Linked DNA regions of Drosophila melanogaster. The protein of the gene in region 1 interacts with the protein of each later gene in a pairwise test. Each region holds a gene or a part of one and is shown in the gene's direction. Other genes may lie near its edges.

Region 1 (6,871 bases):
CCTTTTTGTCGGCAGGAACCGCCTTAATAGTTCCCTCTCATTACACTTTTGCTATTTTACAAAATTCTAAACTAAAATTAAATTGTTTTCGCACAACTTTTTTGAACAAAGTCATCTCTTGAATTAGGGGCGTTCCCAAATCAAAGTCGCCCTGTTAGTTAGGCATTTAAAAACTAGAGTACAGCCGGCGAGCACTTTTATTGGGGATGAAACATGGGTATTCACAGTCCATTGTATATGCGATTGATGGAGGATTGGTCGAGTATTTTCTTGAGCGCTAGAATTAGAAACGTTTATTAATGAAACAATTACTCTTGTGATAATGTATATGCTAACCTTCCTTGTCCTCCTCCGTAAGATCCTTCTTGGGGAACTCCACATCGAAGGTGATGTACAGGTTGCCGGTGAGGTTGTTGTTCTCAAAGTTGGGCATGCCCTCGCCCTTCTTGCGGATTCTAGCGCCGGGCCACGTTACCTTCTCTCTCGTGACGGGCACCAGGTGTCCATCAAGGTGCTTGATCTCCATGGAGAAGCCGACAAGGGCATCCTGCAGACTGATGGTCACGTTCGTGTACAGATCATCATTCTTGCGCAGGAATCGCGGATGCGGCATTTGTTGAACCCGCACAATGAGGTCGCCGGGCTCCCCATCGATATGTGGCTCCCCCTCGGCCACGAACCTCGTCTCTTGGCCGTCGACCATGCCCTGTTCCACCTCGATCTCCAATGTGCGCTCCTCGTTGACTAGCTTCACGTTGGGACACTCGTCGCACACCGTCTGTTGGATCATCTGGAAGCGCCCGGGTCCAAGGTTCCGGGTGACCATCTCCTGGCGGCAGTTGCATTTCCTGGTGCCTGAGGCGGGTTTCGTTACAGGCTTGTTCCTCACAATTTCCACAAAGTTTCCGGAGTATAGCTCCTCCAGGGAAACGTACAAGTCCATTACGATATCGGCGCCTCGCGGAGCATCTTGCTGCTGGCCATCACCACCGAAGTGAAAGCCGAAGTCCCCAAAGAAGCTAGAGAACGGATCACCACCGTGATCCATCATGCCCTCCTTCTTGAGGCATTCCTCGCCGCAGCGGTCGTAGGTCTTCCGTTTGTCCGGATTGGAGAGGACTTCGTAGGCCGCTCCCAGGTCCTGGAACTTTGTGGAGGCATCCGGGTCGTCCTTGTTCTTATCCGGATGCAGCTCCTTGGCCAAACGGCGATACGCCTTCTTCACTTCGTTCGTGTTGGCGTTTTTCTTTACGTTCAGTATTTTGTAGAAGTCCCGGCCGGCAAATGACTCCTCCACCAGCAAGAGGGACAGCTGAATTATAACCAAGCACTTGATAAGCTGCATTTCGTTTTTGATCCTGTTTGATTCAGCAATTCATTCTTTTTAACCAGCTGATTCGAAATACGATTTTAAATGCTGGCAAAAGTGTAAAAAAATTGTAGTTGTCGCCGCTGGCAGCTTTGTTTGTGTGTGTGAGTCGTGGTCTGCGCTGATTGGTTGGCACTGTCGTTAGGGTTGTCACCACTTCTCTAACAGAACAGCTGTTTCGCATTACAGTCAATCCAAAAACTGTGGCAACGTTGCTTACAGTGCTGTTACAGCGCATATAAACGCTTCTGGTCACACTCGCCCAGCGAAGATAAAGAAATAAATTGTTTAATCCAATTTAGCCCAGCAAACTGCAAGTTTGCAGTTTATCTTTCTCTGCTTGCCCTCTTCGGCAACGCGAAAGTGCCTTTTTTTTAGTTGGATAGCAGCTTTCAGATCAATTCCAAAGGCGCTTCCCACGCTTGAGTTTAGCTGTAAAAGTAATAAGAAGGGAAGTCTGACAATTTGAATCCCTTTCGTACGGTACTTTTGCGATTCCAGGCACCAAAGGTAAAGGGACTAAGCGATCATCGAAGCGGGAAGTCCCAGAAAAATAAATTTACTCCGAACTATGGCATAATAAATGTCAAGGCCAAAGCAAAACAATAACAGAGCCATCAGAAGCTAATGCTAAAAGACGTAGTTGTGTGTGAGATAAAAGGTGAGTAATTCATCACTTTAATTATGCAGCCGGTAATGTGCAATAATACGTGAATATAACTGTACGCCTAATTCGCAACTGGTGATGTCAACACTTTAAGCGCAAGTTGATCGAGGTTTAAGTTCAACCAGAAAGCAAACATTTCACGGGATGCAAGCTATCGCCCTCAAAAGAGAGACAACATGCAGTAAACATATATAGTGCATACACAATGCAGTTTACAACAAACTATTTTAAAAACCATTTAATATTAATCAATTATTATTAATATTAATTCGCCTTAAACAGTTAACATGAATTCTCGAGTTATCCTACTGGGACTCGTACAAGCTCAAAAGGCTCTACTGTAGTTCCAGACCCCCTTTTTTGCCTGTTATCAGTCGTTAAACAAAGAAATATTCATTGTAGTATAGAGCCAGCCCAATAATCCGACAAAAACAAGACTGAGTCAGTCGACGGGAGGAAACAAAGCAGGGAATCGAAATTGCAATACGATATGCACCAGACTTACGATAAAAACAGGCCCCGTTCCTATTGCATTAAAAGAACTTTGGATTACAGGACGGATCAAGGCTGATATGGTATAGTAAAGCATATTTCGACCGAATTATCAGTATCTCCACAAAGCTAATCTTATCAGTGCCATAAATAGGAACCCCTTGTGAGAACATCTTGACCAACCAACCACAGAAGCAAATAGCCGAGAAATGCGGGTATTACCCAGATAACGATACTAAACACTATCTTAGACTTGAATGAATTTGAATTGCAGACAAGCATGGACATAAATAACATCTAGGCATGAAATTACCATAATTATAAATGTTTATAATATTAAAAGGAATTTTAACTATTGTAAATCAATCTGCCATAAAACCTACTCACTCGATCAGAATAACCACCCGAGTCGATCTAGCCATCCGCCTTCGCATGAACGCTTTGATCTCGCGAACTATAAATGTTAGAAAGATAAGATTTTCATTTCTATCGCTATGCTACAAATATTTGCAACATACCCACTCTGAATACCAAAATATTAAAATTTTGTGGCAGCCAGCTACCTGAGTTACGAGTAACTGAAAGTCGAGGAATTCGAGTAGAGTGATCTCTTTTTTGTGTTTCTCCAAACGCATCCAAGTTAATGCCAATCAAGCAAATATTCCCGACTAGCAAAGTCCAGAGATTAATAAACGAACCGAGTGGTAATTGAACGTCAAGTGAACCCATTAAAAGACACACAGTAGACCGCTGGCCACCAGTTTCGCCCTGCCAGGGGACGCGTACGGTTTTGATAGTTCCGATTGTGCTAAGGCCGGAATATTTTCGATCCCCTTTGATTGAAAACTAGTAAGTTTAGGCGACCTAAACAGTGGCAAGTGCTAGAAAACTGAATAGATCTGCGGATGTCTGCACTTGAAGTTGACTGTGCGGATAAGTGGGCTGTCCCACGTAATCTTCTCCAACTGTCATGGACTGCAAAATATATTCAAAAATATACACTTATAATCGCCGATGCTTATCGAATACTTAAGCAGGGACCAGCCGGCGATAAGCCTTGGTCTTATTATTTTCAAAATTACCAACTCTGCAGGGTGCCAGGATGGGTGTACCGGGAAATAAACTAATAAAAATTCGATACGGATTATGGACATTGATTATACAAGGAAAAATAACCCCACAAACTGTCTTCACTTCCAGATGCAACTAACTGCCTAGGGCTGGATTATTCCCACCTTGGCTATTCCTTAAAAGCGTGAACCTTTGGAATCCTACGTATCCACCATGTGCTGCAAGTGCTGCGGGGAAACTCAACGAAAGGTCTGGGTCTTCGGCTTGGGATCGGTTTTCCTTTTGCTGGGAATACTAATCGTGGTCTTCTGGCCGGGTATTGCAGATAACCTTGTAGAGGATGTAAGTATATTTAGCCGTCCGAGATTGCGTATTACAGGTTCAGGGAAATATGTTTACCGAACGATAACTAAAAAAAAAAAAGATTTTCATTTCGACATACTAAAATGAACTTAATCTTTACCCAGGGCCTTACCCTCAAGCCCGGGACTGATGCCTATGAAAGCTGGCTGGAGGCACCTATCCCCATTTACCTGAGCTTTTACATGTTCAATTGGACGAATCCCGAGGACATAAGGAACCCGGACATTAAGCCAAACTTCGTGGAAATGGGTCCGTACACCTTCCTGGAAAAGCACAAGAAGGAGAACTATACGTTTTACGATAATGCAACGGTGGCATATTATGAGCGCCGCACATGGTTCTTTGATCCGGAGAGATCCAATGGCACATTGGACGACATGGTGACTGCTGCCCATGCCATTACCGCCACGGTAGCGGATGAGATGCGAGACCAGCGCAAGATCGTCAAAAAAATCATAAACTTTATGCTGAACCATGAAGGCGGAAAGTTGTACGTAACCAAGCCGGTGGGCGAATGGATCTTCGAGGGTTACCAGGATAACATTACCGATTTCCTAAACCTGTTCAACACCACAAAGATCGACATACCCTACAAACGCTTCGGGTGGCTGGCGGACCGCAATGAGTCGCTGACTTACGATGGCTTGTTTACTATTCACACGGGCACTGACGATATATCTAATCTGGGTAGACTTACCCACTGGAATGGAAAATCAGAAACTGGATTTTACGAGATGCCTTGTGGCATTGTTAATGGAACCACGGGCGACATGTTCCCGCCAAAGATGAATGTAAACGATGAGATTACGATTTTTGCCACCGATGCTTGCAGATTTATGAACCTCCGGCCCCGGGGCACATACGAGAATCACGGCCTGACCGCCACTAAGTGGGTAGGCACCGAGGAGACTCTGGACTCCGGAGAAAACTACCCTAACCAGGCGTGCTTCTGTGATGAGGCGCGATTTGATGAATGTCCCAAGACCGGTGTCGTGGAGTGCAAGGCGTGCCGAGACAAAGCACCCATTTACTCCTCCTTCCCTCACTTTTACCTAGCGGATCAGTCGTATGTTGATGCTGTCAGTGGAATGAAGCCGGAGAAGGAGAAGCACGAGTTCTTCCTAGCCGTGGAACCGATTACTGGAGTGCCTGTCCAAGTGCATGGACGCATCCAGATTAATATGATGATTGAGCCCGATGACGACTTCGAGTAAGTAAAGTAAAAGTTCATGGATAAAAACTACTCATACGATTCATACAATTACGTACATAAAAGCAAAGGTCTCAAGGAAAATGTAAGTCATAAAGTAAATTTTATTTGCAGCATATATCGTGGAGTGCAAAAGGTTTTAATGCCCATGTTCTGGTTCGATCAGTATGCAGAGCTCTCCTCCGAATTGGCATCGAAGGCCAAGGTAAGACCTAATCCATATTTGAAATGTCTTTCATTTAAGTGCCATACTTTCCATTTCAGTTGGCCATTAATTTGTCCAGTTACGGAATCATATTCGGCTATTCCATGATAGCTTTTGCCAGTGTCTTTCTCATCACCGGCATCACGCTGACTGTGACGAAAAAGTGGGTGCGGCGAACTCCCGAGGATGAGGACATACTTACCAACTAGAGCAAAATAGTTTTTAAGCTTTGCCAAAGTGCCAGGAATTGTTAACTCTCCTAGTTCATTCTGATAGTCGCCCGTCAAATGCTGTTCTTTGTCAGTTATGCGTTATGTAATATGTAAGTGATACGAATCGACGTTCGTCTTGCAGTTTGTGATAGCAAAACCTACTCTAAAAAAAAAACTAAAAACTACTCTAACTCTAAAAAAAAAACCTTACTCTATCTGCATATTACACGAATCATTCACAAGTTGAAACTTTCTGTTTGAGACTTAAGTTATCGTACTTGATAAACAATACTTCATACAACTAAAACACTCCGTGCATTTTATTTTAACGTTTTTATTTGAATTTTCATTTATTTTGAAAAGATAGTTTTTTACAATTTCTGTATGCTTTTCTGCAGGACTTTTACTTATCGTATACGATTGTTGGATGCTTTAACGATTTGCTTTATAAATGCATTATTCAAATGTTGTTTTGTAAATTAATAAATAAAAATAATTGTATACGTATATATATTTATTTATATATATGTATATATATTGGTGTATATGTAAGATATATGGCAAAAATTTTACATTTTCTCAAAGATCACATTCCTCAATTTAGCCATAGACTTTTAGTCGAGAAAAATCTACGCAAATATTTGTGACATCCATCAAAAACTCAAATTAATTTTTGCACGCACACTAACACATCCAAAAAAACAGTGGGGGATTATTAATCGAACAAAAAATAATAAACAAAGTGGATACAAAAAATAAATGATAATCATCTCTCGCTTATTACTATGGTGGGGATGGAGGGCAAGTCTAGGCACTCTTGAAATTCTTTAGTTCCCTTCGTCCAGCGATCGGAGCAAGCAAACCCATTTCAAACCATTTCATAGCCGATTTGAATGCTTTTCACTTGATTCTACCGCTGGCCCGATTCGTTGTGAGTATGTGTGTGTGTGTATAAAGAGCGACGTTGCTACGTACTAAAAAATTTGCATAGTATATGTTGCGTTGTTCTTGGTGACTAAAATAGTTATAAATTTAGTATAAGTTTAAATAAAAATCAATCACAGTTGTTTGGGCGGAAGTAGTTAGTTTTAAGTATTCGCATTTCTGGCCTAACTAAGTATTTGCAGCTAAGACTAAAGATCTACGATGTAGTTTAGTAAATTAGGTAGTGGTCGTATTTTATACTTGAGTATTGTTGCTTCCCATTTTGATAAGCTTCCTCTCTATTTCCGATGTTGTGTCATGTTGTGGTCTGTGCTGTGGTTACGTTACCAATTCCCTT
Region 2 (4,184 bases), on another chromosome or scaffold:
TTCCAGTCGACGGGGAGCTCTTGGCCAGATCGCCGGCCAGCGTCTCGAGTAACCGCTTTGGCCTACGCCTAACTACTAAGTTGGGACTAACTCAACCAGATGCAAATGTGGTGGTTTCCCCCTTGCTTATACAGGCGGCGCTCAGCCTGCTGTATGCGGAAAGTTCTTCGGAGTACGGTAGCCAACTCCGCCAGGCTCTGGAGCTGACCCACGCCAGTCACCCGAAGCTTGCGGTGCAGGACTTCGAGACCCTTTTGACGGACCTCAAGCAGTCGGCTGCCATTGGCTGTCGCTTGCGGTTGCTGAGTGACCTCTACGCACAGCAGCGCTTCACCTTCAACTTCCGCAATGAATTCGAGACCTTGGCCGCCCGAATGGGCGTCGGCTGCCACCGCTTGTCGTGGGAAAGTGCGTCGAACGCGGCCCAGGATATCAACTACGCCTTCCTTAGCCGCAGCAACTTCAGCCTGGGGGAGCTCGTCAGTGCCCCCCAACTCGAGTCCTTGGCCGAGCACAACACGCCCTTTTTACACGTCTCGGGAGTCACCTTCCGAGCCCCTTGGGCTTGGGCCTTCGATCCTACCGAGACGCAGAGCATCAACTTCTTTGCCGGGGGAAATCGCCCCAGGCTGGTGGATGCCATGTTCGGACAGCACCGCTACAGGTACGCTGAAGTGCCCGCTCTGGACGCCCAGCTCATTGAGGTGCCCTTCGCCACTGCAGACCTCCGAATGCTCATTGTATTTCCCAATCGGCCTGATGGCCTGGCCCAACTTGAGAGGAAGCTGGCGCAGTCCGATCTCCACCAGCTAAGGTCCCAGCTCGAGGAGCGCAAGGTGGCCCTCACTCTGCCCAAGCTCAGAGTGCTAGTCCACTCCGACCTGAAGCACGTGCTCGAGGAGGTGAGTTAACAACTGTTAGGATTTCTCTTGGAACTGCAGCTTGTACAAGTTCAAATCAAACGTTTTCCATATGGAACGCAATATTAAATAAGAAACGCTAGAGTTACGTGGATACTTATTAAGCTAAGAAGCAGTCATTAGACTTCTCCTTTGGCTTGAGTGGGAAATTTAATGTTCTCAACATGATTTCCCTTGCAGTTGGGTCTGGCAAAACTATTCACATCGGAGGTCCACCTGAGCGAGGTCTTCAGCTCCATCCTGTCCAGTTCGGCTCCACCCTTGGGAGCAGTGGTCCAGAGTGGTCTCCTGGAGCTACAGGAGGATGGCGGCAATGCCGACGACTCGTTCTGTAAGTGATCACGCCAGTCTCTGACCAAGAAGCCTCCTAAACCAGGTGTACTTCTAGCCTTCGGGGATCTGTTCCGACGAGCCCTGCCCCTGGTCATCAATCACCCGTTCTTTTACGCCATCGGCAATGGCAAAACTCTGCTGCTGTCCGGCCACATCGTCGACATCTGAGTCTTTCTAGGCATACCTAATTCTCGATTCCAATGCTAGTTCAAGCCGGGCGGGCTATCGCCTTATCAGCCCCACTCAAATCTCCGCGAAATAAACAGAATCACCCGTGGCCAGCCAAAGGTGACAAATGATTTGTAAACACACTTGATCGGTATTTGTATTTGGGACCCGAGAGCTGAGTTTCGTGTTTGAATCCGACTTGGATCAACCTCTATAGGCGCTCTGCGATCGCAGAGATTTCAGTTCACATTCCGACGAGCTCAAGTGCGAATCAAGCGGAGCAGGAGACGCCCATCAACAATTTATGTGACGACCATGGCTGTCATCATCAGCTGCCTATTACGTAAGCCCCAATTAAGCGATCTGGTTTGTGCACTGTACGAAAGCTGTACAGGAATGTATTTCCACTTTAAAGGCCGTTGCTATCAAAAGAGTTGCTACAATTTTGGGTGTTTTATTATCATTAAGAATAAATTTCTTCTATTTTCAATTGATATTTGACGTAATGCCACAGTTTCTAACTTGGTGATAAAGTCAAATCGATTTCAAAGTGACAAATATCCTTCCTATTTCTGTGAAAATTATATAAAAAGTGAATCAAATCGCACGAAAAAATATGTGAATTAAATGTGACAATTATTCGAGCTATAATTTTCTCCAAGTGTGCCTCATCTGGCGGGGCGGAGCCTGCAAACAAATTGCGACTAATGCCATGTTTCGCATCGATTCCTTTAGTTCTCCTCGCGACAGTGTCGCAGTCCAAGACCGTGGGTTACGATGCGGCTGCCGATCGCAATTTGCTGGCTGCCGATCTCTACAACGCCGTGGCCGCCGATCATCTGAACGAAAATGTGGTCATCTCGCCAGCGACCATACAGAGTTCCATGGCGCTGGCCTTCGTGGGGGCCAAGGGTCAGACGGCATCGGAGTTGCAGCAGGGGCTGCGTTTAGGTCCTGGCGATGCGGATGCGGTGAGCCAGCGCAGCGGTAGTTACCAACAGGCCCTGACCCGCGACAACAACTTCCGGCTGGCCAACAACATTTACATCAACGAGAACCTTGAGTTCAAGGGCTCCTTCAGGGACGTGGCCCAGCGCCAGTTCGACTCGAACATCGACAAGCTGGACTTTCACCCGCCGTACAACAAGCGCACGGCGGATGGCATCAACCGGGCGGTGGCCACCAAGACCAACGGCAAGATCACTGACATCCTCCGCGCCGAGCTGCTGAATGATCGCACCGAGGGAGTGATCGTGAACGGCGTTTCCTACTCAGCCGCCTGGCAAAAGGCCTTCCGGCTGGACAAGACCGAAAAGCGCTCCTTCCGCACCGGAAGCGGGCAGTCTGTCAAGGTAGACACCATGTGGACGCTGCAGAACTTCAACTACGCCGAGGTCAACTCCCTGGACGCCAAGGTGGTGGAGCTGCCCTACCAGAACCCCGACTTCTCCATGCTGCTGCTCCTGCCCAATCGCAAGGATGGTCTGAGATCCCTGCAGCAGTCGCTGTCCGGTAAGAATCTTCTGGCCGAAATCGGAGCGATGAGCCAGCAAAAGGTGGAGGTGCTGCTGCCCAAGTTTAGTGTCACCTTTGGCTTGGGTTTGGAGGGACCATTCAAGAAGGTAAGTAGGAATCGATTTGAGCGAATTTTCAAGTGGTTACGATATTGTAATAATATTTCTTTGGATTATGAGAAAGGTTTTTTTCATAAGTCAGTTGATAAATTCTGATTGCATTTTTACATTTTTACATTTTTAAAAGACTATCAACTATTTATGATGATGTTTAATCTAACACTTTAACTTTCGTCAACTAGCTGGGCGTCCATACAATGTTCTCGAGAGATGGTGACTTTGGCAACATGTACCGCATGTTTGTCAGCCATTTCATTAACGCAGTGGAGCACAAGGCCAATGTGGAGGTCACTGAAGCTGGCGTGGATCAACCCCTGGAAACTGGATGTGAGTAGACACCTAAGTGCACTAAGCAGATCCCAGTGAAGTGACTACCTTTCTTCCGAAATCCAGTGCTTAAAGGACTCTTTTCGCGCTCCAAGAAGTTCGAGGCAGATCATCCGTTCGTGTTCGCCATCAAGTACAAGGACTCAATCGCCTTTATCGGACACATTGCTAACTATGCTTATGTCTAAGCTAGATCGCAGATACGGAGTAGATCATTTTGTTAAAACTTACAAATAAAAAACACACGTAAATTGACCTAATGAATGTTACTTTTTGAACAAAAGACTGACAGAAATTAACAACTTGTATGAAACTGGAATGGACGACGTCCAAGTGTTTTTCCCAAAGGTTGCATTTTAGATTATTTTTAATCCGGCGCGGCACTCACCTTTCTAGCTCAACAGGCATTTGATTTGGGGTATCCATGTTTGCGGAGCGGAGGATGTATCCGAAGTTTTTATGGCTGGCGTTCTACGGGCTGATGTCTTTTCGGTTTCTTTGTCGCTTGATTGGCACTCACAGGTATTTCACTGGTGACACTGGGGGCGGGGGTGATGCCTTTCGGCATTACTTATATTTATTATCTTATTCTGCGGTTTCTCGGCCGACTGCGCTGCGTTGTTTCCTTTAATCGCGCACATAAATCAACAAAAGCCGAGCCAGCTGACAACAATTTGAGCTTAGGCGTATTTATTATAAATTTCTTGGCGCGTTCGTGAAAAAATTCGCGGAGTGCCTGTCGATAAACTGGTTCGCGCACCGAATTAACTTTGGCTCCACCAAATGGCTCAGGCCCGATCTA

The links. The genes of interacting proteins can lie anywhere in the genome.
Region 2: the proteins of crq (region 1) and Spn43Ab interact in a two-hybrid assay, tested with the Drosophila melanogaster proteins (one large-scale study listed by BioGRID).

The regions. Positions count from the first base shown.
Region 1 is NT_033779.5:447,736-454,606, reverse strand, and holds crq (croquemort), read left to right. Parts: upstream 1-1,582; 5' UTR 1,583-2,030; intron 2,031-3,304; exon of another isoform or gene 3,305-3,377; intron 3,378-3,728; 5' UTR 3,729-3,812; coding exon 3,813-3,941; intron 3,942-4,066; coding exon 4,067-5,172; intron 5,173-5,286; coding exon 5,287-5,377; intron 5,378-5,436; coding exon 5,437-5,586; 3' UTR 5,587-6,353; downstream 6,354-6,871. Other genes in the region: shv (shriveled), read right to left, coding at 222-277, 337-1,345.
Region 2 is NT_033778.4:7,151,117-7,155,300, reverse strand, and holds Spn43Ab (serpin 43Ab), read left to right. Parts: upstream 1-1,658; 5' UTR 1,659-1,736; coding exon 1,737-1,764; intron 1,765-2,156; coding exon 2,157-3,043; intron 3,044-3,237; coding exon 3,238-3,382; intron 3,383-3,448; coding exon 3,449-3,570; 3' UTR 3,571-3,639; downstream 3,640-4,184. Other genes in the region: Spn43Ad (serpin 43Ad), read left to right, coding at 1-902, 1,101-1,251, 1,309-1,421.